Diceros bicornis minor: one gene and its partners. The protein of the gene in region 1 interacts with the protein of each later gene in a pairwise test. Links are inferred from orthologs where the notes say so. Each region holds a gene or a part of one and is shown in the gene's direction. Other genes may lie near its edges.

Region 1 (7,712 bases):
GGCTGCAGGGTGGAGAAGGATCAGAAGTTCCAGCGCTCTCTGAAAATGTGAGAAGAGGAGGACAGGGTCCTTGGCTGTGCCAGAGGTCTTCCTTTTGGCCCTCCAGATCCAATTGTTCCAGGCCCCAGGTCTGAGCTCCTGTCAGAGGGCCCTCTCCATACAGCCCTGTCCCAGCTCCGATAACCACTCATTCCCTCTCCCCTGCAGGCCCAGGGGTGGGCACAGAGTCCCCATGGTGCTGCACAATCCCTTGTAGTTTCTTTACACCCTGCCCACATATTTGTAAACAAGCTCGTTCTTAAAAACTCCTCGCATGATCCTAATTTGAGTGTGCCAGCTGTTTCCTGCTGGGACTCTCATGGTTACACCCTCTCCCCCAAATAAGGAGAAAGCAAGCATAAGTGACATGAGGAGAGGATAGAGCTGTCTTCCTAGGGATTATAGCTTGAGAAGTTTGCTGCTTAGGAAAGATAACCGACTTACTGAGGTAGTGGTTGTCTTTTAATAGCTCTACTGTTTTGGTGAGAATGATGCTGCTCACTTAAAAAGAAAAGAAAAAGGAAAATCATTGGAAATTCCACCTCCCAGAGACAAATGCTATTAACATTTTTTTGCTGAATATCCTTCTACACATATATACTCGTACAGATATGTTCAATTTTATAGGAATGAATCATACTCCAAATGCTGTGTCAGACCTACTTTTTCTCATTCATCCATAAGCCTTGAGTTTCGAATTGCCTGTGGAATAGTCCAAGTAGACGTGTCCAGAAATAAATGGAATATAACAATCTAGAGTGCAAGAAATTCAGTCTTGGGGTCCCCGTCAGAGAGATGGGCATGACAGCCTTGGGAAGCGGAGGATCCCACTGGGCAGAGGGTGCACAGGGAAAAGGTGAGGGCCACCACAGAGCCCCTGGAACTCAAACCCTGACAGGGCAAGAGGAACCAGAGGAAGCAGAGAAGGAGCAGCTAAGGAGGTAGGAAGAAAACAGGAGAGCTCATGGCCTTCGAGAAAGACAAGGGTCAACAGTAAAGAAGGCACCTGCCAGATTTAGCAAAAAGGAGGTAGCTGGAGGCCTGGGTAAGAGTGATTTTAGTCAAGTGGTAGAGTGGAGGCCCAACTGTAAAAGAGCTAAGGAGAGAATGGACGTCGTCTGCTTGCCCTCCCCACTTGTTATCCCCCTCCACCCTCATCAGAGCTTTCCAAACCCTGATGTGTGCATGAATCACCTGGGCATATTGTTACAATGCACATCTGAGTTAGTAGGCCCGGGGTGGACTCCCTGATGATGTGAATACCACTAGAGCAAACTCGAAGTAGCGAAGGGCTAGATTGGGCGGCCTAGTGACAAGGCCCAGTCTCAATAAGCTCACACAAGGCTTTACCAAAGACACTCAAGCGTGCAGAGATGAAATGAATTCTTAGAGTCCTAGATTATTATTCACATCAGAAAGGTACTAGGGCCGGCCCAGTGGCGCAAGCAGTTATGTGGGCGTGCCCCGCTTAGGCAGCCTAGGGTTCGCAGGTTCGGATCCCTGGCATGCACCGAGGCACTGCTTGTCAAACCATGCTGTAGCGCTGTCCCATATAAAGTAGAGGAAGATGGGCACGGATGTTAGCTCAGAGCCAACCTTCCTCAGCAAAAAAAAAAAAGAGGAGGATTGGCCTCAGATGTTAGCTCAGGGCTGATCTTCCCTCCCCAAAAAAAAAAATTGAAAAAAAAAAAAGAAATGTACTAAAAAGGAAAACTAGAAGACATTTCTGTTCTCATATGTCTAGTTCTTTCCTGCATATATGCCTTGTTTATGAAAGTCTCTCCATTTAGGTTGCTTAAAAGTGTTTCTTAAGTTCCAAACTTATGAGGATTTTCTAATCATCTTTTAGTTATTATTTCTACTTTATTGCATTGGGTCCAAGAACTTGCTCTCTAAGATCACAGTCCTTTGAAATGTGTTGTTATTTGCTTTATGGCTCAGAACACAGCCAGTTTTCATAAACGTTCCATGAGTGCTTGAAAAGAACATAGTCTACAATTGTTGAGTGCACTGTTTTATGTCTTTTAGGTCAAATTTCTTTACTGGGTTGACAGGTCTTCATATTCTATCAATCACTAAAAACAAATGTGTTAAGATCTCCAGTCTCTCTTCCTGGAAAGCCTTTCCTCCTACCTCTGCCTGCTTGCACAGGCCTCCGCCCAACAACTGGAGATTCATAGTCACCAAAATCTGACCCAGTCTCTGCAGACTCAGTCCTTGCCCTGATGGCACTGACAGCCTAAGCAGACTCACCTGATCACCAACACCTCTCCACCCCACCTCAGACCTGGAATATTTCTCCCTCCTCTGAGCTCTTACAGCATTCACTGCCTGTATAGCTAATTTAACACTTAGATAGTCTGTCTTCATTGCAATTATTTGTGTTCATAATTTACTCCCCCATCAGGTTTTAGATTCTGGATGTGAAAAGATTATCCTAGTTTCTATAACTACTTTATTGAAATATAACTTTTTGTGTGTGTGTGTGAGGAAGATCAGCCCTGAGCTAACATCCATACTAATCCTCGTCTTTTTGCTGAGGAAGACTGGCTCTGAGCTAACATCTATTGCCAATCCTCCTCCTTTTTTCTGTTTTCCCCAAAGCCCCAGTAGATAGTTGTATGTCGTAGTTGCACAGCCTTCTAGTTCCTGTATGTGGGACGCGGCCTCAGCATGGCCGGAGAGGCGGTGCATCGGTGCGCGCCCGGGACCCGAACCCGGGCCACCAGTAGTGGAGCGCAAGCACTTAACCGCTAAGCCACGGGGCCGGCCCTGAAATATAACTATTAACAAACCATAAAACTCACTCCTGTAAAGTAGATGATTCAGTGGAAGACTATCTTATTTATCTTGGCATCCTCTGCAGCAATGGTTCTCTATGTATACGCACACTGGAATCACCTGCAGAGCTTTAAAAAAATACTGCTGCCTGGTTCTCACCCCAGAGGTTCTGACTTAATTGGTTTGGGGTGCAGCCTGGGCATTAGAATTTTTAAAAGCCCTGGAGTGATTTTAACTTGTAGCCAGGGTTGCCCTACAGTGATTTGCACACAACTGGCCCCCAATAATTGTTTGTTGTACTCGTGTTAGCCCTAACTTCTAACATCCAGCTAATTAACTCACCCAAGAGCTACCTTCCCCGTCTCCCATAGAGTACATCAGCTCTTATAACATAATGGTCTGCTTATACCTGTCTGCCTGACTCAGTGTGAAAGAAGCCTAGGAGACAAAAGCATTTAGAAAAGATAAGTTTACTTGCAAAGACATGTAGATTTCAGATTTCAAAGAGTGGATAAAAAATACAACTGATATTTAATGGAAAAAATGTAAAGGAAAGATTACTATGTTTACATTTGTCTCTTCACCACGGATGATATGCTCACATGGGGAGATATGTCACAAAGGTCGTGACATATCCCCAAATTTCTGTATCCAGAAGTCAGGGACAAAATGGTTTTCATTAGGGAATCAGTAATTTACAAGAAAAGCTCAAGATTTCATTCATTTTGGAGACCAAATGTAAAAGATTAGTTCAGCTACTTTGTTTATGTCAGGTCTGAAAGTGTCTTGTGATTGTTTTTTTGTGTGTGTGGGACTTGTACATTCTTAACACGGTGGCAGGGCAGTCTCATTTTTGTTTACACAGCTGCGAGCGCATGAAGGCAGGGACTGTTTCAGTCTTATACATTATGGCGTCCCCAAGCTGGCACATGTTAGGTGTTCAATAAATATTGGTGGAATGGATATGATCAACCCTCATGCCACAGTATTTAAATATGATTTTAACTGAATCGGAAGCTGCACAAGTATCCCACTTCGATATTTTTTGCAATTCTTAATTATGATACTCCGAACTGGGGCACTCCCTAAACTGCCTGGGCTACCACAAACTCAGAAGAGGCTTTTACTTCCACGTAAACCATTGTTAAGGGTTGGAGGTCTGTGAATTTACGAGCGTCACGTGAGCAGCAAGGATGGTCCCTCCCGATGAATGAATACAAGATTGTCGTGGCTGGCAGCGGTCCCTCAGCGAGGCGGTCATCCTGGCTGTCCTGTAACACCACTTAATACATTGACACCTCCCTACAGCTAGATCCCAAGGGTCCCAGGGGGCATCCAGAGCCGCGCCACTGACCTCCACAGCGGGATGCCCCCGCTGGCGGGTTACGCCCCAAGGCGCAATACAGAGACTCAGGCATCAAGAAGACAAAGTAAAACCAGTCGCAGCAAAGAGAGGCAACGTTATTTAGGCAGCCGGCTATTCCTCCAGAGCCTCCACCCTGTCCCCTGGGCCCGGCCCACAGCGCTCAAACAGTGCCCGGCTCCAGGAGCCCCAGCTCGCTCCACGTGTCCTGTCTTCCCAGCAGCCTCCTCTGCTGCCTCGGGAGGAAAGCCTCCTGACAACTCGCGGTCTGAGGACTACAACTCCCAGCAGGCACCGCGCCGCTTCTCTCTCCGCACCCCATCCCCCTCCACGGGACACGCAGGCGCTCTGGGCTCCGTCAACAAGCCCTGCTGGCGTCGACTGGCCGCAGTTCCTTATGGGATTTGTAGTTTTTCTGGCGTTAGCTGGGCCGTCAGTCAAAAGGACAAGAACTACAAGTCTCGGCAGCCCCAGCGTGACGAGCCCGGTCACGTGGAGGGGGCCGACCGGGCGTGCGTGCCGCCGTTGATCCGGTGCTGCAGTGAGGAGGTGGTTCTCGCCCGTGTTGTGTGTGTGTGTGAGTGAGTGAGTGAGTGCGAGAGCGAGTGAGTGAGTGAGTGTGTGTGTGGGGGGACTCGGCTTGTTGTTGTCGGTGACTTCCCCCTCCCCTCCACCCCCCCTTCCCCGCCGTCGCTGCAGTGGCCGCTCCCTGGGCCGTAGGAAATGAGCGATAACGATGACATCGAGGTGGAGAGCGACGTGAGTCCTGGGGCTTCTTCCTTCCCGTGCGGGTTGTCAGGCGGGGACAGCGGCCGGGGCTCTCACCCGGGCGACGGCAGGAGGGGGTTGGGCAGCCGCCGCCTCCTTCCCCTTCCCCGCACCGGGACCGTCTCAGTCGCGCTCCCGGCTCGCTCCTCTCCGGGCTCCTGGCCGCAGCGGCCTTCTGGGACTGGAGGTGGGGAGGGGACACGCGGCCTCTGGGACCCCCAGTTCCCCCCGTGGAGGAGGGTGCTGCGGCCTCCCGCTCCCACCCTATCCCGCCCAAGATCCGGGGGACAGGGACGGGGTGCGCCCGAGATCCCATTGTCCGGATGTTGGGGAAAGGGACGGCGCTCAGGACCTGCTCCCTCAGTCCGCGATCCCCTCCTCCCGTGACCCGCGGATTCTGGGGGCTGAGGGAGGGCGGAGACGGGTTGGGAATGCCCAGATGCCCGGAGCTGGGTCCGAGGGTAGAAGACGTTGCTCTGGACTCCCTCCGGCCCGGGTCGGATCCCGGAAGGAGGGGCGGCGCTCGGGACCCCCCTGCCCTGCTACCGGATCCCGCTGGGGGGATGGGGGCGTGGGGTGGGGAGGGAAGGAGGGGGGGCCGGGCTGACTCCCCACCCGCCGCTTCCTTCGCCGCCGGCATTTTCTTTCTTATTATTCAATGTGAAGTGTAAAAATAACTTCTATATTTTCTATTTTTTTTCTCTCTTATTCCAGGAAGAGCAACCGAGGTTTCAATCTGCGGTACGTCTCCTACTCTCCATTTCATTTTCATTTCCGTTCAGTTCTAGTCCTTTTTGGGGTCAGAGAGAAAAAGAGATCGTTCTATTACTTTTAATATTGTAGTAAACTCTCCTGTTAACCGCTGAGGTGAGGTGGGGCCTTGTTTTGGGGTTCTAGGTGGGGGGAGCGGGTTTGCAAATCTCATAATTCTAGATTCTCAGGTGATAAGTTCCGGTGACTGGAGGTGAGGGAGAGGAGCTGTATGCAAAGAAATGAATCGTTCGGTAGTTTTCCGATGGGGGATCTAGCTGTCACTATATACGTAGGAAATGAGAAATAAAATTAAAGTAAATTGTAGTATTGTATTTCAGGGCAAAGTGGTCAGAAGATTTACTTTGGAACAAGTAGGTTCTAAACTATATCTGCATAGTTGTGTATATCTGCATAGAAGCTGAAGCCACATGCAATAATTATCTTGAACTAAAAATCATGTGACTGCTGTAGACCTATAGAATCTAGCACAACATGGTGGTGTTCTAATACAGAAACTGGCAATGTAGAGGAGCCAGAGGTTGAGTATGAAAGTGTTGCATACAGCTTATTGTGGTCTGACTATATTTGAGTTGAAGAAGTATAAAGAAAATAGAAGAATTGTTGAAGGAAAGTGGCATTGCGGAGATAAGTTTGCTAAAAGGTGATGGTTGAGACCATACAGTGTTATCAGTCATTTCTCAGGGTTTTAGTATTAATGTTCTCAGTAGATGGTTCTATGGATTTAGATAGACACTAATCTCATGTCTTTGGAGTCGGCGACAGTACTGTGGGTGTTCCGTGAATAGATTAGAGAAAGAAAAAAAGAATAGACGCAAAATCAGAATCAGAGAGAGGAAGAGAAATAAGTATATCAGAGTGTCTGATATTTGACAGATGGGAACAGTATGAAGTATATAGAATGGGGGTCAAAAATTCCAGTGCCTGTCGGGGGCCCAGGCAGCGAGATAGTCAGGAATCAAGTAGAGGGCAGAGGTGAGGACTAGGGTACTGGAGAGCACATGCCTTTTCTAAAAAGTCAACCACTGAACTCCAAGGGGTTGTTGTTATGTGGGAGTGAGGGCTCAGTGTTGCCAGATCTTCCTGTTTTTAAAGAAAGATTAGAAATCCAGATTTTTATGTTATATTTTTGATTTTTTAAATGATGTGTGGGATAATCAGGTTGCTTAGGGGCCTGTTAGAATTTGCAGGATGCCACATTGATACCTCTAGTCTAAGAATTTAATTACCACAGGGTAAAAACAAGCCCTCTTACTTGTACCTGCTCTTCATTAGAGCAAGCAAAGATTCTGCAGGTTGTCCAAGCAGAGAGGCATTAAGAAAGATGTTATTTATTGAGAGCTGATGTTTCCATAAAATCCAAGGATCCATTTGTTCCAGGGGTCTTAAAAATTACCCCTGGGTAGTAGTCACTAAAAATATTTTGTTTTATTTCTCCTTGAAATATCATCAGATACTTATATTTAGTTTAGACATGTATTTGAAAATTCAATTCCTTTTTTTCAGTTACTATTATCCTTAATAATGTGAACATAGAGTTTCACGTTTGGGACTCAGTCTATTTAAAACATTTTTTTCCTCCAAGTTTCTAGTTATAAAATCTGCCCCAGGGCTTGATCAGGGTTGGAGGATAGGGATTGGTTAGACTTCTGTTGCAGAATCATTTGAATTGGAATTACCTTGGCTTTCCAGTGAGAGAAAAGTTTTCTTTGTGAAATTTTGGTTTACGGTACTTGAAAGCTTTCTGCTTCTCAAAATAGCCATCTGCATGGGTGTTGATGTAAATTGCTTTATTAAATTATTAAAATGTTCACACTCTCCTAGGATGCTAATCTCATTGTTTTGTATAGATATTTTTAGTTTGGTGTTAAGGTGCCTAGGATTTTTCCCTTTGATTTTGGGGATGGGCAAAGAGAGTGGGTTTGATCCTTTGTTTTTAATTTGACGTCTACTTGCTGAGACTTGTAAATATTATCTGGCACAAGATGAT
Region 2 (7,032 bases), on another chromosome or scaffold:
CACTCTCAAGGCTGTGCCAGGAGCCAGCAGGAGAGGCAGTCCCACAGTGCTCCTTGTTCTTGCCCTTCTGCTTGTGTCGTAAGTCCCTAAACCTCTACTTCTGGGCTTTCCTTGGAGCCACTCCTCCCTTTTAATAGAGGAAGACAAGATGAAGGCTCCCAAAGAGACAAGGAGCCCTGAGCCACCTCCTCAGCTCATTGCCAGACGATCCCTTTCCAAAGGGAAAGGTGCCCAGGAAAAACTTGGCTAGGAAAGCTCTGGGGATTAGGATGCAAGTGACAATGGAGTGGACAGAAGATCTCTTGATGGTGTTTACCAAGCCTGAGTACAAACCACAGGTAAAAGAGCAGGGAAAAACCTGACCCAGCCGTGCCGGCAAGGTCCAAGGAAAAGCTAGATGTTACAGTGGTGGTGGACTTAGGCAGAAAGGGCTAGTGAGGGGAGAATGAATAACTGGGAAGAGCCAGGTTAGGGAGCCCAGGAGAGCCAAAATGGTCCAGGACTACAGGGAAGGGCATCCCATCGCATGCCGATGCAGGATGGGGAGATCTGGGGGAAACTCTCCTATCTCTGTCTCAGTAATTAACCAGCCTCTGTGCACCTGAAGCCATAATTATAGGCAAAACAACTCCTTTGATGTAAGAGTGTAGAATGTCTGGGGGGAAAGAGGGGCAAATAAAAGAGAGTGATCTTGCTTTAGTATGCAAACAAGATTGATGGAGAAACATTACCAAACAGGCAAATAGGCCAAACAAAGAAACAGATGATTGGGATAACAAGACTCAGGCTGAGCAGACACCCCAGATCTCTTGGGCCTTTGAGAGCATCGTGGCTGGCCTTGTTGGGCATTGCAAAAAGTCACTGCTTTTTTTCCAAAGAGTTCACATGTTCTTATCAGGCTGGCTGCCTTCTCATCCCCTACCTGTTCTCTGCAGAAATTCTCAGCAAGTTTCCAAAGAGGCCTGTTTATTTATGGAGTCAAAGCCCCGGAGAAAGTGAGGTGCAAAGGGTTTGAATGGCTCCTCCTGGGAAGCAAATCTAATCGGGAATGGAGCTGAGCTTGTAACCCAGCATCCTGGATGCCTGTCCCATGATATAACCTCTGAAACACAACTCTTTCTGTTGGGGCCAACTTTATTAGAGAAATCTGTTAATTGGGGGATGGTGGGGGAGGAGGGAGAAAGCAATATGATGCTAACATGATTTAACACTTGATGGGATCAGAAAAAAAAGAAGGGGATTTGAGCTTTAGCTTGGCACATTTGTTGTTCCACATATATGTTACCAAAATGAATATATGCAACTATACCATACGCGAGACTCTGGGGCACCATAGCACAGACTTTGCAAAACAAAAAGACATTTCTCCTGCCTCCACTGTGTTTTTTGTGGTGCCATTGTCTGATGCTAAGAACTCACATAATAACAAAAAACAATGCCCCTATGATGGGGGGAAAACTTGATTTGGCACTGGCAGTGGTGTTTTCCATGGGAATGATGGTGGGGGCTGTGGCTGACTGTGGGAATAGTGCAAATCAGCACTTTTTTGTAGATTTTTCTTCAAGTCATTGTTTATTTTGGCTTTGGTCAGACCCGTGGCCCAGCTTGAAGATTCCCACTGGGCTTTCTGCAGCTCACAGACCTATGAGAGATGCAACAGGGATAAATAAATAATTACAAAACACCCTACCCTTGCCCCTCTCTCATATGTGGGCTGTGCCTGTCTCAGTGGGTATGGATATACATACATGTAGGTCATAGTACTGCATATATGCATATTTGGCCCATGCTTCCATGGAGGAATTAAAGAGAGACCAAGGTTTCCTCCAAGATTAGTTGGTTCATGGTCTCAGTATCATCTTACTTTTGGGGCAAGGGAGGCCATGGCTGTTTCACATAAGCGCCAGTTTTTTGCAAAATGAAGTTGGATAAAACTTGTTTGAAACTGTACCTTCCTAAAGTCCTTAGATGTTTATAGACTTTTAAACATGAATAAGTCAGGTTGAGGTTCCAACAGGAACAAAAAATCAGTAGTTGTTCTGATATTAGAAGGTGAACTTTTATCTCATAGCTCTTAGGAGCTTCTACTCTGCCTTAGCCAAAGGATGCAGAGATCAACCAATCAAAATTTGTCACAAGACGGAAAATGAGCAGAGAGTATGTATAGTATGAATGTATAGTATGATTATATTATGGTTCAAAATGTGAATATATGGGGCCAGCCCGGTGGTGTAATAGCTAAGTTTGCGCTCTCCGCTTCAGCGGCCTGGGGTTGCCAGGCCCGGATACCGGGTGCGGGCCTACACACTGCTTATCAAGGCATGCTGTGGCAGGCATCCCACATATAAAGTGGAGGAAGATGGGCACAGACGTTAGCCCAGGGCCAATCTTCCTCAGCAAAAAGAGGAGAATTGGCAACAGATGTTAGCTCAGGGCTAATCTTCCTCACCAAAAAAAAAAAAAAGTGAATACATTTAAAATGCCCATTACTGATTTTTCCTGTCATATCAGCAGCAGATTATTATATTCTAAAAGTACGCAAGACTGTGTTGAAGGCTCTGTAAGGGTGTGTGCACTGTAAGTTTTACATAGTGAGTGTTTTACAAAGAAATGTACTTTCTCTCCTTTTTTCAAAAAGTTTCCATTTCCAGTAAGAATCTTCCTGACAAATGTGTATAAAGCTGCCTCTGAACAGGGTGGCTGGGTCGCACAACTCCAGGGGGCAGCATTCATTGTGTCTTCTATGTAAATGGTTCCTCTGGAGGAAAACTCCGAGTGGCCTCGCAAGGTGACAATATTTACATGGGTGTGTTGCAGAGATGTTTTCCAATGAAGTGCAGGAGATTCTTGTTTCCTGTAGCTTGTTCTTCCCTTAGATGCAAGTAGGGTACCCAGGCTCTTGTCTGGGTCTAGATTGGAAGAAAAAGGTCTTATTATGGGCTAGGCAGTGTGCTAACGGCAGATATGGTTTAATCAGCACAAGAATCCTTATCAGAGGTTTCACTCATGGGGAAACTTAGGCCAACAGAGGTTAGGCGACGTGCCCAAGCTCACATAGTCTGCATGCATCAGAGCTGGGACTTGAACCCTTCTCGATGGCACTCTTCAAAGACCCTCAACTATCCCCCTGACTCCCACCACAGGTCCCAGGCCTGGAAAGCTCCCATGGTTCCTGCGGACCCTGACTGGGTGACAGTAGCAGCAGTGAATACAATGTCAACTGGGGTAAGGGTCTTCAGAGCCAAAAGGTGGAGTTCAGGGAGGTGGAGGGGATCCTGGGCTGCCACTCTGCCTCGCTATCAAATAAAAGGGAGGCAAGGTGTGGAGGCACCCTAGTGTGAGCTTTGCACAGCTGGACCAAGGCTGGGAAGAGGAGTGTGGAGAGAGATGCTTACATCTCCTCCCCCTTCCTGGAAAATACCTTTGCATTTGAAGGGAGAAAGAAAGAGTGAGTAAATCTGTAACCGGGATTTGGCGGCCTGGGGATTTCATTGGGTCCATTGAAAGGCCGGTGCCTCACTCTGGTGCCTCTGTGAGGGTGTGTATGTGTGTGTGTGCGCGGGCGCGCGCGCGCAGGAGTGTGTGTACTGGGCGGAGGGAACTTCAGGTTACATGTGATTTTTTTTTTTGGATTAAATTTTTAAATTTAGGCTTTTATTTTTATTTTAAATTTTAAATGTAGGCTTTTATTTTTTTAAAAAGTCATAGCAGCTACCGTTTATTGTGGACTTACTGTGTGCCAGGCATTGTGCTGACTGCTTTATGAGGAATTATTTTTATGTGAAGAAAAAAAGAGCTTAGTAGTTTGTTTTTATGCAGGTGCACTCAGAGGCATGGAGTATTTTTTCCATTATGCTTAAAATACAGTGCTCTGCACTGTGGTAAGATTTGGGGGGAGGCGGGGAAGGGTGCGGGGACGGGCAGGGGGCGGTCCCTGCCTCGCTTGTCTCCACCTTTTATTTTGACCGGTCGGATGGCGACAGGCTCGCACTAGGACCCAGGCGTCAGAGCGCCTCCGTCGGTCCTGTAGGTTCATTCAATCTCCCATACACACAGACCCACTGCGAGACCGACACACACTCACACACACTCAAACACACAACTGCACGCAGCGAGGCTCGGGAAGTCAGGTCGCCTGCTCGCCTCGGCGCCTCCTCCGCTGCGGCCAGCCGCTCTCCCCTGGGGCCCTGAGCTCGGCCGGGCGGCGCAGCCCCAGAAGAGGACGAGCTCCGCGGACCCCCGTCCCCCCATGGGCAAACGCGGGCGGCCGCGCAAGGAGGCGCGCTGCGAGCGCGCGGGGCTGGCCCCCGCCGCGCCCCCGGCCGTGGCCGCGCCCCAGCCCCCGGCCCCGGCCGAGGAGCCCGCGGGGGCCAAGCTCAGGTGCCCCTTCTCGGACATTTTCAACACCAGCGAGAACTCGATGGAGAAGCACATCAACACTTTTCTGCAGAACGTGCAGATCCTGCTCGAGGCCGCCAGCTACCTGGAGCAGATCGAGAAAGAAAACAAAAGTAAGTTTGTTCCTCCTCGGCGCCCTGCTCTTTCTTCCTCGCCCACTTGGGCGACCCCTGTCGCCTGCTCGGCCCGCGCCCCCCTCCCCCCAACACACCCATCCAGCCCTCGGCAGTAAAGCCGATGACACCGGAGAAAGGACACGCACGCACAAAGCTGCTAAAGATGTAACAAAGACGAGAGGGGGGAAGAGGGGGGCCTGTCGGTGCGTCCGTCTGTCTGTCTCCCGGAGGCTGGGAGGACAGCCTGGCCGAGGAGCGGGGGAGTGTTGTTGTTTGCTGACAACTGAGCCGAGAGCTCATCTCTTCGAGGTCGCCTTTCTTCCTTTTTTTTTTTTTTCCGGAGCCTTCTCGGGCAGACAAGTGTTGTTTTTCTGTCGCTCGTTCCTGGGTGGGGTGGGGATTAGAAGCCGAAAGTTGGAAACCGTAGGCAGAGCTCAGCGGTTCCAGAAAGAAAACGCACAGACACACACGACAACAATAACAACCACCACCACCACCACCAAACAGCCCTCCGGCGTGGGCTCGGGCTGGCTCGACTATGTTTCTCTCTCCTGTCCACTTTGCTTTTTCCTCCCCTCTCGCAGCAGAACTGGGCTCAGGCCATCGCGTCCACGGATAAAGTCCCCCTGCGCCTCTGTTGCCCTGTGGTGCCACCGGCTCCCCCTCCCCCAGCCCCACCAAAGAAACAGGCCGGCAGGGCCAAGCAGCGCCAGCAGCTCGCCCCGGACCCGCCGTCCTGCGCCCGGGAAACTTGGCGAGGGGGACGCGGCTGGAAGGAAACTTTGGGATCTCGCAGGAAACAATAGTTGGGGAAGAAGGTGTGGGCTGTTGTGTATGGTTTCTTTATTTTCCGCGAGAAGGCTCCCGAGTAAGCGCTCAGGGCGAGGAAGGCAGACGCCTTCCTGGTCGATTTCTGTCGCCTGCTCCCCCACCCACCCCGATTCAGGTGGAGAGTGATGCGTTGTGTGTATGTGTATGTTGGGGTGTGGGGGTGCTGGGAGCCCCACCCCGGCCTGCCCTCCTTTTTGTATTTGTTTGTTTCATTTTTGCCCCTGCCAGCTGGGTCCCCTAGTCCTCCCCAGGCAGTCGACTCAGCGCCCTAACGGGGGCACGCGTGTGCGGTGTCTCCAGCACGGTCCTCACAAATAATAGCAATAATAGCTGCGAGAAGGGGGAAGGGGCCGAGGCAGATAGACTAACAAACTGGAGAAAACAAGGCTGTTTAATCTGTCCGAACAAGTAGGAAGATCAATGAGACGAGAGAGGAAAAAAATGGTCCGATTGCAACGTGTCAGATCTTGCAACCTCCTCTGCCCCAAAACACAACAACCCTCCAACACAAAAACACCTTAGCTGACCGACACCCCAGGCCTCCAGGGTTAAAGTAACAGAGTGTTGGCAGCGCAATTGTGCAGAAGCTCTAAGGCAAAAACAAGGATTTGTGTTGGGAGGTCGGTGGCGCGTTCTTTTCTTTCTCTTCTCTCCCGTTTGCTCGGAGTGCCTGGGTTACGAGAAAGGCGCATCGCCAGCCATGTAGCCGAATCAGTTCGCGATTATTCATGGGGGTGGGGGAGGGGGGGAAGTGTGCATTGGTCGGGAGGGTAGTTTCTGAAAAGCCAGAGACGGTGGGGAGCTGGGTGAAAACATGGTTTTGTTTGGTGTGTTTGCTTTTGTTGGAGGGGGAGGGGCGCGATTTCTGTAGCTAACCCCCGCCCGGGTCACCGGTTCTCCGGAGTCTGTCCCTTGGCGCCGGGTCTGGAGGGGGGTGCACTCAAAGAGGGCACCTTGGCAGTGTGTGGCAAACCTGGTGTACCCTCCCCCCCCCGCGCGAGGTGTACTAAGGAGGCGGCTGGAGCTTCCACCGCGTCCCGCCCCCCCTTCGCACCCTCAGACAATCGGAGACCTCCCTCCGCCCCCGGCCGCCCTGGCCGCCGCCACCTCCTTGTTTACCCCGTGCCGGGGCTCCGGCGTGGCCACCAGTCACGTAAGCAGAGGGCCGGGCGCGCCGGGCCGGGCTGTCCCCGCACGGGGCGGGCCAGCGACGCCAAGCCCGGCTCCCGAGGCTGAGGAAGCCAAGGGGCTTCCTCCCGGTTCCTCTCCCGCGGCGTCCGCGCTGCCAGCCCGCCAGCCCCCGAGAGGGGCTCGGGAACCTCAGCGCCCCAGTCAAAGTCAACTTCGTGTGCGTAATCGACCCCACGGCCCCGCTGCCCCCCCCTCCGGCCGGCTCCCCGCGGGAGTATTTTTAGCTCTCTTGCCTCTTTTCGCCGCCGCTGTTTGGCTCTGCATGACGTGATGCCAACGGCCCCCAGATTTCCCCGAGAGCGTGGGGCGCTGCGCCGTGCCCAGCTTGGCTGCGGGGACCTCGCTCCAGGCCCTCGCCCCCTCCCCAACTGCTCACGCGGGCGAGGTCACTTCCAACAACCAGGGGCGACCATCCACGGGGCCCTCTATTATCCCCCCTACAAACAGGAGCGGCCCACGGGGCTACTGTATCCTCCCCACTCTCGCCACCCCACGC
Region 3 (7,604 bases), on another chromosome or scaffold:
ACACCCCTCATTCATAACTTTTTGTCCTGTAAAAAATTTTTAAAAGAAAATTTAATTGTTTTGCTTTTGGACATTTCTGGCTATAAGAAATTCATTTAATTTACAATTATCTGCATTTTCCAGGGGTCATTGAGTATAGTGGGAAAATTTTGTAAAGTGAGAAAAAAAATCTGTCCTACAAATTGTTCACAAATATAATGAACTGTTTTCTTATTATTTTTTTTTAAGATCAGCCCTGAGCTAACATCCATGTCAACCCTCCTCTTTTTTTTTTTTTTTCTGAGGAAGACTGGCCCTGAGCTAACATCTATTGCCAATCCTCCTCTTTTTTTTCCCTTACTGGCGAACCCTGGGCTGCCAGTAGCAGAGCGCGCGCACTTAACTGCTAAGCCACGGGTCTGGCCCCGTTTTCTTATTTTAAATTTAAAAATAACATTGACATTATGTTAGGTTATGCAGACATTTAATTACATCTTCATGCATCTTGGTTTTGCTGTCTTGTTACTGTGTTCTGGAGGTAATTTTTTCCTGACTGGTAAACTTTGAAGGCCCCCAAATGCTCCGAGGCCTGGCCTGGTGCCCGTGGCTGGCTACCTTGGGCAGCTACCACGGCACCCTAGGTTTGATCGTGACTGGGCAGGCCCTGCCCCATTTCCCTGTGTGTAGGGCCAAGGATTAATATTCCTGCCACTTCCTGGGCATCCCTTTGTGCCCAGCCCACTGCTGCCCAGGGCTTTCCATGCATCCTTCATTGTACCCCACAACCACCCCAGAGGCAGGTACTGTAAATTTCCTTTTGTAGCTGGGGAAACCAGCTAAGAGATTAAGTGACTTGGCCAAGGTCTTGTGGCTAGACTAGAATCTAGGGCAGCTTTGAGGGAGGGACCCAGTGACAGAAGCCCCCCAGGATCTCCCCGGGTCCTGGACACACCAGCCATCTTGGTGCAGGGGAGCCAACACTTCTAGGAGGCTGGTTGCAATGCTGGGCTCTCCAGCGCCCGATGACCCCCGGCCAGGCTCTGTCCCTAGGCTCCCCAGACCCAGACCCTGCCTGCAGGGAGCTGTCTAAACCTGCCACCCCCCCAGGGTCTGAGGAGATGCAGGCTGTGGGAGGATTCCAGCCGACCCAAGTGGGCAGGGCAGCCCCTTGGTCTCAGCCTCCTGCCCAGAGTGCTGGGCTGGGGACCTGGGTGGCAGCGGGGAGTCCACCCCAGTGACTGAGGAGACAAGAGAGGAGGTGGGGCCAGGGCCGGTCATCCTGGAAGCGTGAGAAGGAGGCTCTGGAGGAGGAAGGGCCTCTCAGACCTTCCCACCTGGGTGGGGGTGCTTCCTAATGCTGTGCTGAGAGCCAGAGACATGTTCCCAAATCAGTATATGTGGCGGTGATGGGGATCCTGGGTCCAGAGAAAGGGAACCAGGGCCTGGTGAGTGTGGGGGAGACCAGGAATCAGTCTTCTAGAGGTTTCTTTCCCTCAGGTCTCCTTAGGGCCTTGAATACTCTCACATGATCCCGGGGGTGGGGAATAAACCAGTCTTTCCCAAGCTTTGGGACCAGAAATCCTCATGCCATACTCCAAATGCCCCCAGAGATGAGGTGGGTCCTACCATTCTCATTTGTAGCTAGGGGAGTGAAGCTGGGGTGGGGATGGGGGGGAATCCCACGAAGCCCAGGCAGACCTGTACTTCCACCCAAATTGGGAAGTTCCTTCTAGATTCACGCCTGCCCCTCTTCCCAGAGCCCCTAGCTGGGAGCTCTGGGGTGGGCTGGGCTCCCTCAAAGGGCAGTGAGGGAGAACAATCCAGGAGGATGGGCAGCGAGGGGAATGTGGGCTGGTCCAGGAGGAATGCATGGTGGAGGGCCCAAGGCGGCATAGGTGTGTGGGAAAGGGTTCAGGAGTAGGGGCAGGGGAGGTCCACAGCCCCCTCTTGGGCTCTACATGGAGATAAGGGTAGGCTGCCTGGGCTCCCAGAGGGAGGAGGCCTGAGATGTCTGCCTCTTCCCTCCTGGGCATGGACCTTGCTGGTTGCCGCTCCGACGGGTCCCTGCACTGGAGAAGGGGCAGGAAGGGCTGGGCAGGTGTGGGAGAGGGGGCTAGATGAGGAGGCAGCTGGCCTACCCTGGGCTCAGGGAAGGCTCCCTGGAGGAGGTGATACAGCCCCACCAGAGACCTGCCCTACAGAAGTGGGTCTAGGGGTGGCACCGTGCCAGCATCCTCAGGCTCTGGGCCAGCCAGTCCAGACCCAGGGGGCATCAGGCCCCAGGACCACTGTAGTGCCTATGCACCCACCTGGGGTGGCATGGTGAGGCCTGTGGGTGTGCAGACTTGGCTGGCCCCAAGAGACACCAACACCCACCCCCCTTACGGCCTTCCCCGCTAGCTCCCCTAACTCATGGCTTAGCGTCCTCCGGGATCTCCCCTGGGGGCTCTGCCCCTGCCTGCCCGCCAACAGGCCCAGAAAAAGGTCGGCTTGAGTACCCGCCCCACCCCGCCTGCCGCTCCCTCTCTCCTCTCCTCTCCCCGCCACCCCCCACGCCATCCGGCCCACGCGGCGCCTATCTGTGTCCGCGCCAGACCCCGCCCTCCTGCCAGCCCCTCGCTCACGCCGTCGACCCGGCCCACCACACTCACAGGCAGTGTGGAGACCCGCGGGCACCAGAGCATCTGGGTGTGGCTGGGGGAGGGGTCCCCAAAATGCCGTAGATGTAGATGGAGGTAGGGTGGGGGACCAGCCCATCTCATCTCAGGCTGGTAGGCAGCACGCTCGGGGCTCCCGCAGTCACACCTGGGCACCTGCACCACCTGCTGTGGCACAGAGTGCACCTCATGCCCCATGGCAGGAAGGAAGGTGGGCATCTGGCAGGTGCCCACTAGGCAAGGTGTAGGCTGGCTTTAGGATTGGGGTCAGCAGTCCACCCCTCACGTAAGCAGGGATGGAGTAACCCTGCAAAATGCTGATGCCCTGATGGTGAGCCTGGGATCCTGCCTCCCATAGCCCAGAATGCACCCGGCCCTCCTCAGAGCTGGGCGCCTGCTTTTACCCTGCACAGCTCTGTGCAGCCTTCCAGACTAACCTGGAGGGCCACAGCACCCAGCTCTTGTTACAGGCTCTGCCCTGGCCCTGGGGTGACTGTGGGGCAGGAGCAGGAATATTCCTAAACCCGTTGCTCAGATCACAGAAGTCATGTTGGGCCAGGAGATGGCTTGGTCTCCACGGTCCTGTGTCACCAGCCCTGGGTCGCGTGTATGGGTGCACTAATCATTCCGCTAGGATTTCCGGGAGACCCTGGTGAATCCCTAAACCTCAGGATTCCCAGTTTCCTTTTCTGTAAATTGGGGATGCGGAAACACACGAGGAAATACATATAAAGCTTCCAATAGGTCCTAGGACTGAAAGTGCTGAGGTTTTTATAGTTCTTGTTCTGTTTTGTTGGCAGCAGCAGCGACCCCCGCCCCCTTCAGAATTTCTGTCGGGGGTCCAGCCACCCTATCTCCCACACTCTCCAGCCTGCTGGTCCCCTCCTCAGGAGCTCCACTAGGGCCACCCGCCAGCTTGATGAGGAGCTCTCTCCCCCTCACGGAGGCAACTCCCTTCCCTAGAAAGCACTTCCTTGGCCAGCGCCTGTCCCACCCTTCAGACCAGACACGAGCACGCAGCCCCCAACTCATGGGAGCCCCTCCCGACCGTGGCGACAGACCTTTGACCCCCTTCTCTAGGCCGAGGGCTCCTCCTTCGGCCCTGGGGTCCACCGCAGCTCTGAGGGACCCCTCCCTCTCTGGGCCTGTTTTCTCATTGAGATCCTCAAGGAGACCTGGTTCTTAGGCTCAGACCGTCCAGCCCCCTCCTCCAAGCCCCGGCCTTTCCTGGGGTCACTGTAGGTCCGGCAGGGAGGGTGTCGTTTTGCAGCCCCACGCGAGACCCCGAGGAAACCGCGAGGCCCGGTGTTCCCGCGGAGCCAGTGTTGCATAGGGACCGGGGGCCACAGGTTCCTGCGCACACTGTGTAGCCCCGGCAAACCGCGGGGCGCACGAGACGCTCCCCGCGCCCTAACCGGCCCCGGCGAGGGCGACGGGCAGTGCCCCCGCGCTCGCTTCCTCTCGGCAACGCGTCCAGCCGCTGCGCCCTCATTGGCCGCGCGCCCCGCTGCCGGCCATTGGTCCGCAGGCCCTATTTTACATAGACCGTTCTGGGCCAATCGGCGCCCGGCGCCTACTTAACATGCACGCCGGCCGCCAGTCAGCGCGCGCGGGGGCCGGGCCACCACGTGCTGTTGCTAAGCTTGGGCTTCTAAATTGTTACTACAGCGGCGGCCTATCGGAACCGAGCTTAGCATCTGTCAACATTCTCGGCCAGGCCCGAGGCGTTCGGCCGGCTCCCATTGGCCCGGGTCCGCCCCAGCGCCCGCCCCCGGAGCCGCAACGCCGGCCCCCATTGGCTGCGCCGGCCGCCGCTCGCCCTTATGTGTCAATTTGAGGGCCCGAGGCGGAGGGTGGCGGCCCAGCGCTCAGCGAGTCCGCGGGAGTCGGGGAAGTGGCCGCCGGGTGCGCGGGGCGGGCGGCGAGCGGAGCCGGCCGGAGGGGGCCGGGCAGCGGCCGCCGCCGTCCCGGAGCGCGTGGGCGGGCGCGGGCGGGCGGGAGGATGGAGCTGAATTCCCTGCTGATCCTGCTGGAGGCGGCCGAGTACCTGGAGCGCAGGGACCGAGGTAGCGCCCGCGCCCCTTTGTGCGCCGGGCCGCGGGCTGGCGGGCGGCGGCGGGGCCGGGGCCAGGGCGGGGGCCTGCTGACCGCGCCGTCTGTCCGCAGAGGCCGAGCACGGCTACGCCTCGGTGCTGCCCTTCGACGGCGACTTCGCCAGGAAGAAAACAAAGGCGGCCGGCCTGCTGCGCAAGGCCCCGAACAACAGGTACCGCCCCCCGCGCAGCCGTCCCCCACCCCACCGCCGGTCCGGGGCCCGGGCTCACCCCTCGGGAGCGCCCTCCCCCGGCCCCGACCCCCGTCCCGCAGCCCGGCCACCGCCGCGCGCCCCGGCGGCCAGCCTGGAGGAGGAGGCGCGCCGGGCCGCGGCCGCAACCCCGCCCGGCCGGCCCCGCCCGCGCCGTCGCCATCTTCCCGCGGCCGCGCCTCCTCGGCCTCTCGCGTAAACAGTGCCACGCGTACAGCGCCCGCCGCCCGGGGTCTCCTCCCGCAGCCGCTCCCCGCCCGCAAGTTGTTCTCGACTTCTCCGGGCAGGAAAAAAGTTGTCAGTGGGCGCTGGCCGGTGCCCCGTAGATCCGGGGAAACTGAGGCTCCGTGCAGAGCAGCGTGGGGCTGTCAGCCCTGACCTCTGCTCGCCGCGGGTGGGTGGGCCGCATCTCTCCGACTGTCTCCAAGGGCCGAGCCTGCTGTTGGGCTGAGTCCCCACACCGCCAGGCGCCTGGACAAAGAAGGCTCATGGAGGCCCTGCCCTGGGCCCCCAGCCCTCCCGTGGTGCGCACCACTCCTGCCCAGCCTTTTGACACAAGTGAAACTCCAGCCACAAGTGTAGGGGTCACCTTCTTTGGGACAAGAGGCCCTTTTTAAGCGGGCCGGAAGAGGGGGCAGGCTGCCATGCAGCAGCCCCTCCTGGTGCCAGTAATCTCCCCCTCCTTGTACCCAGGCTGCAGAAGCCCTGCAGCTGGGATGCACTTCCCTGGGTGGGGAGTGGGGACCCTCAGCTAGGGCTTCCGTGGGTTCCACTCTCCTGGCTGCCATGAGGACTGCAGCACACCTGGCACTGACCAGGGGCCCACTTTGGCCCCCGACCATGTCACCAGGCTGGAAGCTGTGCTTGCAGGGGGCTTCCGGGCCCCTTGGCAGAGGGTGCGGCTCATTCCTGTGGCCTGCCCGTTCTTGGGAAACAGAAAGGCTGGCACAAGGACCAATCTCCTGTGACGTCCTGGCGCCCTGGGCCTGGCAAAGGATTGGTTGAGTCTCCATCTGCCCTGGCTGGACATGTCTCTGAGTCCCAGCCCCTGGTCCCCTGCTGGGGACAGTTTGGGAAAGGACATGCGTGGGGGGGGGGGGGTACCACGGCCTCAGGCCTCCTCAGTGAGCTAGCCAGGCCCCTCCTGTTGGGTCTTGCTGTCCCCAGTGCCCAGCTACCCATGGAAAACTCTGGGACGTGACCTTGGACTTGCATGGTAGGGGGTCCCCAATGCTTATCACCAGAATTGTAGTTAGGGCTCTCCAGGTGCTTCTTATGTACTGTGTTTCATGCACATGCTGATTAATATTTACCCAAGCCCATGAAGGAGATGTTATTTTTATCTCCATTTTGGGGCTGAGGAAACTGAGGCATAGAGAGATTGAACTACTTGTCCGGGGCCACCCTCTCGCCTCTGGGACTCCTGTTCTGAGGTGGGGTGCTGGCCTTCTGCATTCTACTGGGATGGAGACCTTGAGGGCGCCGGGAGGGACCGAGAGGGTCTCACGGGCTCCGGTGCACCTCCCTGCTGGTTCCTCTGGGCAGAACCTGACCCCCCCAGTGCCTGAGGCACTCCAGGGCTCACAGGGATGGCTCCTCGAGGCTGTCCTGGCCCGGAGGATCGGGGCTCTGACTTGGCAGGGCAGCCCCACACCTGCAAGGCTTCTGTGTTCCAGCACAGCTGGGGCCAGGGTGCAGGGTGGGTAGTGGGGCAGGAGGGCAACGTTTGTGGGGGGACAGCGGCCCCATTGGTTGCCAGGCCTTTAGGAAGGACTATTCAGGGGCAGTGGTTCAGCAGGAGGGGCCTGGAGCCAGCCTGCTGGGGATCAGGTCCTACAGGGAAGTGGGCAGATGTCGAGGGGTTGAAGTGAGGACCAAGCGAGGTGATGCCAGGAACGCGCTTAGTATAGCCCCAGGCGGGCTGTCCCACCTCTCCGCCTCTCCTCCGGCCACCATGTGAAGCATGGCCCGGGACAGGGTGCTCCTGGGACCTGTGAGGAATCTCCCCGCAAGGTTCCTGCGGGTATCTGGACCTGGGAGGAGTCCCAGGAGGGACTCTGGGCCCCTCTCCGTCCCCTGGCTGTCCCTCTTCCTCCAGGACGAGGTCCAGCGCAGCCTGCGAGGGGGCGGGCGGGCTTCTCTGTATTAAAGGGCACTCACTGACCCTTACTTTCTTCACAAGTGAGCAGACCTACAGACCCACACCGCAAGGCTGAGGTTCAGACCAGCAAGAAGCCCGATGGCTGTGTCCCCTCCTGGCCTTAGCCAGCCCTGGCAGAGGTTCTGAGGCTCCTTGCCCAGCCCATGTGACCAGCAAACCCTCGAGGTCCCTGGAACCTGTGGGGCTGGAGGCTCTCCTGAGGCTGCACGGGGAGGCCCAGGGAGCTGGCTGCCCCAGTGGGAGGAGGGGAGGCCTTGGGTCCCAGTTGGCTATGGTGGAGCCACGAGCCATGGCAGGTGGCAGAGGCAAGCAGGATAGGCACGCACTCTGGCCTGAGGGGTGGGGACGGGAGACATCTAGTCCTGAGTTCCTGGAGCAGGAGAGAGTGAGGGCAGGCAGGCAGAGATCAGCAGAAGTGCCAGGAAGGAGTGAGAGGTAGAGGGCACAGGGCTCCATCTGGGTGTGCTCTGAGGTGGCTTGGGCTCTCTGCTCATGTGTGAGG
Region 4 (7,004 bases), on another chromosome or scaffold:
CCAAAGATAAAGAGGGATTTTTCACAATGCTAAAAGAATTAAGTCATTAAGAAGATATAACAATCATAAATGTATATGCACCCAATAATAGAGTTTCATAATATATAAAGTAAAATGTGACAGAACCGAAGAGATAAATAGGATAATTCCACAATTACAGTTGGAGATTTTAACACTTGTCTCCCAGTAACTGATACAAGTAGACAAAAAAAATCAGTAAGGATATAAAAATTTTTTTTACAACACAATCAACCAACTTAATCCAACTGACATTTTAAGAACACTACACATAACAACTAGAGGATGTGTTTATTTACATGTGCTTATGGAACATTCATCAAGATAGATCATAAACTGGACCATACAAGCCTTGATAAATTTCAAATGGTCAAAATCATAAGAGTATATTCCCTGACCACAACAGAATTAAATTACAAACCAATAACAAAAAGATATCCAGAAAATTCCCAAATATTTGGAAACTAAAGAACACACTTCAACTTATCCATAGGTCTCAGATCAAAGAAAAAATCAGAAGGGAATTTGAAAATATCTCTTTCTAAATGAAAAACAAAACAAAACCATAACACATCACAGTTTGCGGGATGCAGTTAAAGCAATGTGCAGAAAAGAAGAAGGGAATAAAATGAATTATCTACATACTCACCTTATGCAGCTGGGAATAAAGGAGCAAATTAAATCCAAAGTTGGTTCTTTGAAAAGATTAATAAAATTGATAAACTCCTAGCAAGACTTATCAAGGAGAGAGAGAGACAGAGACAGAGAGAAACAAACCACTTATATCAGGAATAAAAAAAAAGACATACTACAGGTCCTACAGAGGCCTCTCCCGGGTGGCCCCACCCAGGGTAACTGGGACTGTCAGCCACTTCTGAGACGTAGTCTAGCCAGGCCTGCCTCATGGTCTATTCCCCTGCAATATCAAGTGAGGGACCAGCTGGCCCCCCCCGACTCTGTCAATCATTGTGCCGTGTTGCCCCTGACAGCCTGGGGGTGGCATTCCAGCAGTGGCCTCCAACTTGGGGGTCTGCTGACTGCTACACCACCAGCCTCCTGTGGGCCTGGAGACCCAGGCACACCAAAGCCCCCACCCCCTCCCCATGGCTCAGCCAAGCCTCTTTCTCAGCACTGGCTTCCTCTGTCATGCGGTCATAGTCAGGTGGAAGAGGCTGACCCTGAGGGACACAGCTGCACCGCTGTTTTGGGAGGATGCCCTAAAGGAGGGAGGCCCTGGAGAAAGTGATATTTAAGCCAAGATGGCAGAGGCAGGGAGATGGGTAAGGGCATGGCATGTCACCGGCCGTGGCAAAAGGAGGGGCGCAGCCTAGCTTGAACTTTGTCCTGAGGGCAAGGGGAGCCCAGGTGGGGCTCTCGGCAGGGATGTGACCTGGTTAGCTCCGTGACTCAGGAGTGCTACTCTCTGGGAAGACAGGAGGCTGAGTGAAGGGGAGAGCTTGGGGGCAGGGAGCCCAGGAAGAGGGCTGGGCAGGAGTCAAGGATCTGAGCCAGGCCCCAGCTCCAATACTGCCCCACCTCCCCCCTTCCCTCCGACTGCCATTGTCACCTGTAAGGAAGAAGGTGAAAGGGGGGACAGGTTCTGGCGGGACAGCAGAACCCATCTCCTGCATCCTCTCCATAGGGCGGGAGAAGATGGTGAGCCTGGGGCTGGGGCCCCTGCAGTCCCCTTCCCGCCTCTCACCCAGGGCACAGATGTAGGCTCTGTCCCTTGGAGCTCAGAGGACACTACTGCCCGACAGAAATTGCACTGAAGCGCAGGCAGCATAGCCACATTACTTTGGGCAGGCCAGGCTGAGGGCTGGGGAGCCCACAGGGCTCCAGGGTTCAGGCTGGACCTGGGAGTCTGGGACAGAGGTTCTAAGACCAGTCACTGCTGAGGGGGCAGGAGCACCCAGGTCCTCTGCTCAGTCCTTCTCCAGTTGCCACTAGCACTAGCATTTCCTCAAAGGTGCCCAGAGGGGCATCCAAGGGCTTGGGGCAGGAACCCCCCTCTCCCTATTCACCCTGCTCCCTGGGAGGTATTGTTTCCTGTCCTCCTGGCCAGTGGCCCTGACCTATATTCATGGGGGCCCGAGGCCAAGCTGACTTTGGCCTCCATGTTGTTCCCTAGCTCGAATCTTACCTGAGGCTCCTAAGATGAGGTGGTCACTCCAGCCCCCCTTCAGCACCTGCCTCACTTCCATAACCTCCAGTCCCTTACTCTGCTGGGAACTCTCCTCCTTCAGAATCCCTCCCCCTGATCCTACTCCCACCCCAAGGCCAGGCCACTTAGGTCCCAGATGTCTGACCAGAAGGTTTGTGTCTGCACTGTGTGGGGGCTGACTTTAGTGAAATAAAATTGGAAATTCATTCACAAGCCTTGTGATTCCTTCCTTCAGACATAACTGTTTGGGGGTGAGGGTTTGGGGAACCCATCAGCCTGTTCTGGACCCTGCCAGCCTCTCCAGCATCAGTCTGCACCACACTCTTTGTTCTCTCTGTGCTAGCCACCTTGGCCTTCTTTCAGTCTGCATATATTCCTTTCAGCCTCAGGGCCTTTGCACCTGCTCTTTCTGTGTCTGGAATTCTTGTACATCCCTCCTATATAGGTAACACCTATTCATCCATTTCCCCAGAAAAACCTTTTCTGACCTCCCTGATTAGGTCAAATGCTCCTTAGGATATGCACTCACCTTGTGTCTTTTCCTGTGAAGACCTGTCAAAGCTGCAACTCTATTGTGTGATTACTATTTCCGTGTCTCTCCTCACCTGCAAGCTCCACAAAGGTAGGAAACCTGTCTGCTTTTGCCCATTGTTTTATTCTCTGTACTCCAGCACAGTCCCTGGGGTCCAGTAAGTGCTCAGCAAATCTTTCATGAGTGAATGGTTAGGTGAATGGGTGGATGGTCCTGGGCAGCAGTTCTTGGCTGAGCATGTCAGTGATTCCTCTGGGATTGACTCTTAGAGAAACCTCAAGGTTCTTTGCAAGAAACTGAGGGCTAACTGTCGTGTGCCGTGTGTTTACCCAGCACTGTCTCTATAAAGGATCTAGTCCCTCCTTCTCCCTCCTCTCCATTTCCCAGTCACAGACTCAGCCCCAGCCTGGCAGTAATGCTCACCCTATAACAGCTGCTTTTATCTTCCTGTCTCCACCCTTAGACTATCACTGTCCCCGCAGGTGTGGCCACACCTGCTGGCGCTGCCCCTAGAAGTCACTGCAGCTACTCCTTCGGGAGGCTCGAAAGTCACGTTAAGGAAGGGCTCGTGGACTCTAAGGCAACCAGGGGCTCTGTGGGAGGATGTCTGCGTCTGGTCGTACCGGCCTGAGAGATGAGCAGCTCCTACGTCCTGGGCAGGGCATAGGCCTGGGTTCCGATCCTTCTACAACGCTGTCGCAGCTTCTCCAGTTTACAGGAGGGAGATCACTTCCCAAGTCACACGGCTGAGAGCAGCGGTGACAGGAGAGGAACCCGACTCTGTTGACTCCAGAACCCAGGTCTCTCTAGCCAGCCAGTTTGCGTGCTTCCAGGGTACGGATGGCTTGGGGAGCTGGTCCCCTACTGCCGTTTTCGAACAATAGCTTCCCTGCAGATGAGGAGGAGGAGGCAGGAGACTATTCCCATTCGCCACAACAGGAAGCTGAGGCCCAGCGGGGGCCTTCGGGGGCAGATGGCAGGCAGGCGAGGGGACAGACCCCGGAGCGCGAGCCGGACCCGCGCCCCCCTCCCCCAGCGCCTGCGCACTGCGGCCACGTTCCCCGCTCAACCCCGCCCCCACCGCCCAGGTTTTCAAATTTGAAACCTGCTCCTTTTCCCGCCCGAACGTGTTGACCAGCAGCGGGAGAGGGCGGGGCCGCGCGCAGCCAGTAGTGCCTCAGAGGCTGCCTGGCCCCGCCCCGAGGGTGACGACAGCGAGCCGCAGGCGGCAGCGGGCAAATGGGCTAGGGCGCCCGCCCGCTCCGCCCCCGCGGGGCCCACGTGCAGCGCCGGAGCCAGGGGCCTCCCAGGGACCGGGGGACCCCAAAGCACCACTCTTGTACCCTGCCCTCCCCATCCGTACGGGGCTGGGAACTGAGGCCCAGAGACTCCAAGAAACCAGCACGGGGTCGCTGAGCAGAGAGGGCAAGACGCAGCACCAGCCAGCCCAGGGGTTCACCCAAGGGCCAGGCCTGGAGCCGGCGCCCGTCCCAGTCCCGCAGGAGTCCGAGGGGACGAGCCGGAAGGCTCGCGGAGGGTGGGCTGCGGTTCCCCGGCGTATTCCAGAGGGGCGGGGCTCAGAGCTGGGCCGTCCCGGGGGCGGGGCGCCCTGGGGGCGGGGCCGGGCGCTTGTGTTTGTTGCACCGTGTCAGTTACATTGTAACAAAAGTGGTGCAGCCGCTCCTCCCGCCAGCACCCCAGGCCCGCCCGGCGCCAGCTGTCGCCGACATGGAACCCGTGGCTAGCAACATCCAGGTCCTGCTGCAGGCGGCCGAGTTCCTGGAGCGCCGCGAGAGAGGTGAGGAAGAACCCTTGGCTGGACTCCAGGCGGCGACCTCACTGACACCGGCCTGGGCTGGACTTGGATCCCAACTTGAAGGATGCATGGCCTTAGGGGTCTCCACTCGAGAGGGGTCCGCGGGCAGTCGGCCTGGGAGGGGTTGGGGAAATGGCCCTCGCGCCAAAAGCCCCTCCCTGACCGCGCTGTGCCAGGGGCGCCCGCTGGGATCAGCCCCAGCCTGACGCGGGCGGGGGCTCTCTCTGGCAGAGGCGGAGCATGGCTACGCGTCCCTGTGCCCGCACCGCAGTCCGGGCCCCGTCCACAGGAGGAGGAAGCGACCCTCCCAAGCTCCTGGCGCTCTGGACAGTGGGCGGTGAGGAGGGCTGGGGGCGGCGGGGAGTAGGGGGGATGGGCGCCGTCTCTCATCAGGCCCCTCCTCTGCCCACTTCCTCCTTGTTGCTTACATCTTCTAGGCCAGGTACCCTGCTCTGGAGGCATTCAGACCCCTCCTGCCATCTCCCCACCCTCTAAACACACGCTTTTCCATTCCTTCAAGGACTATTTCTTGATGTGTCAGGAACTGTGAGCAAGACAGTTCTGGGTCCCGCCTCTATTCACCCCTACACTCCACATAAACCACTTGCTTTCCCCCACAGGTTTCCAATCCTTTTCGCTCCTCGTCTCAGCCTTTTTTGCACATGCTGTTCCCCGCAATTTGAATGCCTCTTCCTCCACTACCTGCTTTGAGTAACTTGTGTTGCTGGGCACAGCTCAACTGTCACCTCTGTCCAGGAATTCCTTCCTGACTGCTGGTGGGGGCCCTCATTTGGACCCCAGAGCCACCTGGGCAGGACTCTCTCAGTATTTGGCCCCCTGTGTGTCTCTGCCTCTGCCTGGGGACTCAGGTGACCAAGGCCAGCACAAGGTCCCCACACTGGGCTAGTTGAGACAGACATCTGTGGTGGATTTTGAGCCCCTGGAAACCCTGGGACTGAGGGTGTGGGTAGTAGCTAACGCCCCCTCACCGCATCCTCCCTGGCATTGGCAGGTCTGTGCACAACGAACTGGAGAAGCGCAGGTGAGTCCCAGCCCTGCCCTGACAGCACCAGGTCCCAGGAACTGCCTCCCTCTGACCTTCCCTTCCCTGCTGTCCCTCTGGCCAGCAAGGCAGGGCTGGCACTGCCCTCCAGACCCCTTCCTCTGCAGGAGGGCCCAGCTGAAGCGGTGCCTGGAGCAGCTGAAGCAGCAGATGCCCCTGGGGGCTGACTGTGCCCGCTACACCACGCTGAGCCTTCTGCGCCGTGCCAGGATGCACATCCAGGTAAGGAGCTGACCCTGCATCCTGCGGCCAGCTTGCCAGGACGGTGACGCGTAGAAGTAGGGAGGGGCTGGGTGGAACTGGGGAGAGAGGCTTGAGGTCACAGCCCAACTGGGTGACATGGGACAGTTCTATATGCTTTTGGTTTCCAAATTTGTTAAATAGGAAGAAAAGCAGAAAATAATTCAGAGGATTGTTCTGAGGCTTAAGTGAGTTCACCCAATAAGCATTCACTGTTGTTATTACAGCTCTTGTTACTTCCATCCCAACTGTGAGACCCTGGGCCAGTCACTTAGCCTCTCGGGACTTCACTTCCTCTTCTGTGTGGGGGGCATGGCTGTTGAAAAGATTCTGTGATGGGTCATGTGTGAGGGTCCCTCTGACTGCAGAGGGCTGGTCCTTGCTCTACCTCTCCCCCATCCTTCAAGGCCTCCTGTTCTGGGTGATCTGTTCTGGTGCCACTTTGGGAGGCAGCTCCAGTGGCCAGGAGGGGAAAGGACTGAGAGGATGCCAGTCACCTGTCCTCGCAGGACCCTTGCCCTGCCTGGGCTGATCTCAGCGACCCCTGGTGGACAGGGGTGGGGTGTGCTGACTCAAGCCCCGGCAGTCCCAGCGTGGGGACTAGAAGCGCCTTGGGACCAATACAGGCCTTTTCCTGCCCTCCTGGCCCTTTTGACAGAGGGACAAACGGGGGCACATCCGGGCTAACGACCAGGTACTACAGCTGAGGAGAGGCAGATTCAGAACGCAGGCCCAGGTCTCCTGACTTGCATTCTTTCCTTCAACAAGTATTTATTGAGCACCCGCTCTGCCAGTACCAGGACCGTGGCAGAGACAGATCCACGTACCACGCAGCAAATAAATCAGGTGTGGGAACTGTCCCACTGCCCGATGGGTGCCTGCATTCCCCTCATTGTGGCTGAATGAAACCCTGGCCGGGTGGCGGGCCCCAGTTTCTCACGTGGAGCTTGCCTGGCCTGGTTCTTGGAGGATGAGATGCCCCTCAGGTGCTGGCTGGCCCGTGGGCAGGACCTGGGGATTACTCCTTCCTTGAAGCCCCATCACCCCTCTCCTGGACTCCCTGCTTCCTGTTTTGCCTATACCAGGCTGTCCTCCACCTTGCCCCAGAATATTCTTTGCAGCACAAGATCTGTGCAGGTCTGTCTCCTGCTGAAAACCTTCCATGGCTCCT

What was found. The genes of interacting proteins can lie anywhere in the genome.
Region 2: the proteins of MAX (region 1) and MXI1 interact in binary tests that used the Homo sapiens proteins (3 or more experiments, as listed by UniProt). The link is inferred for Diceros bicornis minor from reciprocal best matches to the Homo sapiens genes MAX and MXI1.
Region 3: the proteins of MAX (region 1) and MXD4 interact in a two-hybrid assay, tested with the Homo sapiens proteins (2 studies listed by BioGRID). The link is inferred for Diceros bicornis minor from reciprocal best matches to the Homo sapiens genes MAX and MXD4.
Region 4: the proteins of MAX (region 1) and MXD3 interact in a two-hybrid assay, tested with the Homo sapiens proteins (4 studies listed by BioGRID). The link is inferred for Diceros bicornis minor from reciprocal best matches to the Homo sapiens genes MAX and MXD3.

What each region holds. Positions count from the first base shown.
Region 1 is NC_080763.1:14,073,591-14,081,302, reverse strand, and holds the start of MAX (protein max), read left to right. Parts: upstream 1-4,704; 5' UTR 4,705-4,906; coding exon 4,907-4,942; intron 4,943-5,665; coding exon 5,666-5,692; intron 5,693-7,712. UniProt on the Homo sapiens protein: Transcription regulator. Forms a sequence-specific DNA-binding protein complex with MYC or MAD which recognizes the core sequence 5'-CAC[GA]TG-3'. The MYC:MAX complex is a transcriptional activator, whereas the MAD:MAX complex is a repressor.
Region 2 is NC_080745.1:74,030,009-74,037,040, forward strand, and holds the start of MXI1 (max-interacting protein 1), read left to right. Parts: upstream 1-4,023; 5' UTR 4,024-4,249; coding exon 4,250-4,511; intron 4,512-7,032. UniProt on the Homo sapiens protein: Transcriptional repressor. MXI1 binds with MAX to form a sequence-specific DNA-binding protein complex which recognizes the core sequence 5'-CAC[GA]TG-3'. MXI1 thus antagonizes MYC transcriptional activity by competing for MAX.
Region 3 is NC_080747.1:1,622,404-1,630,007, reverse strand, and holds the start of MXD4 (max dimerization protein 4), read left to right. Parts: upstream 1-4,595; 5' UTR 4,596-4,638; coding exon 4,639-4,702; intron 4,703-4,802; coding exon 4,803-4,902; intron 4,903-7,604. UniProt on the Homo sapiens protein: Transcriptional repressor. Binds with MAX to form a sequence-specific DNA-binding protein complex which recognizes the core sequence 5'-CAC[GA]TG-3'.
Region 4 is NC_080740.1:90,522,453-90,529,456, reverse strand, and holds the start of MXD3 (max dimerization protein 3), read left to right. Parts: upstream 1-3,995; 5' UTR 3,996-4,442; coding exon 4,443-4,512; intron 4,513-4,761; coding exon 4,762-4,867; intron 4,868-5,542; coding exon 5,543-5,572; intron 5,573-5,700; coding exon 5,701-5,815; intron 5,816-7,004. UniProt on the Homo sapiens protein: Transcriptional repressor. Binds with MAX to form a sequence-specific DNA-binding protein complex which recognizes the core sequence 5'-CAC[GA]TG-3'.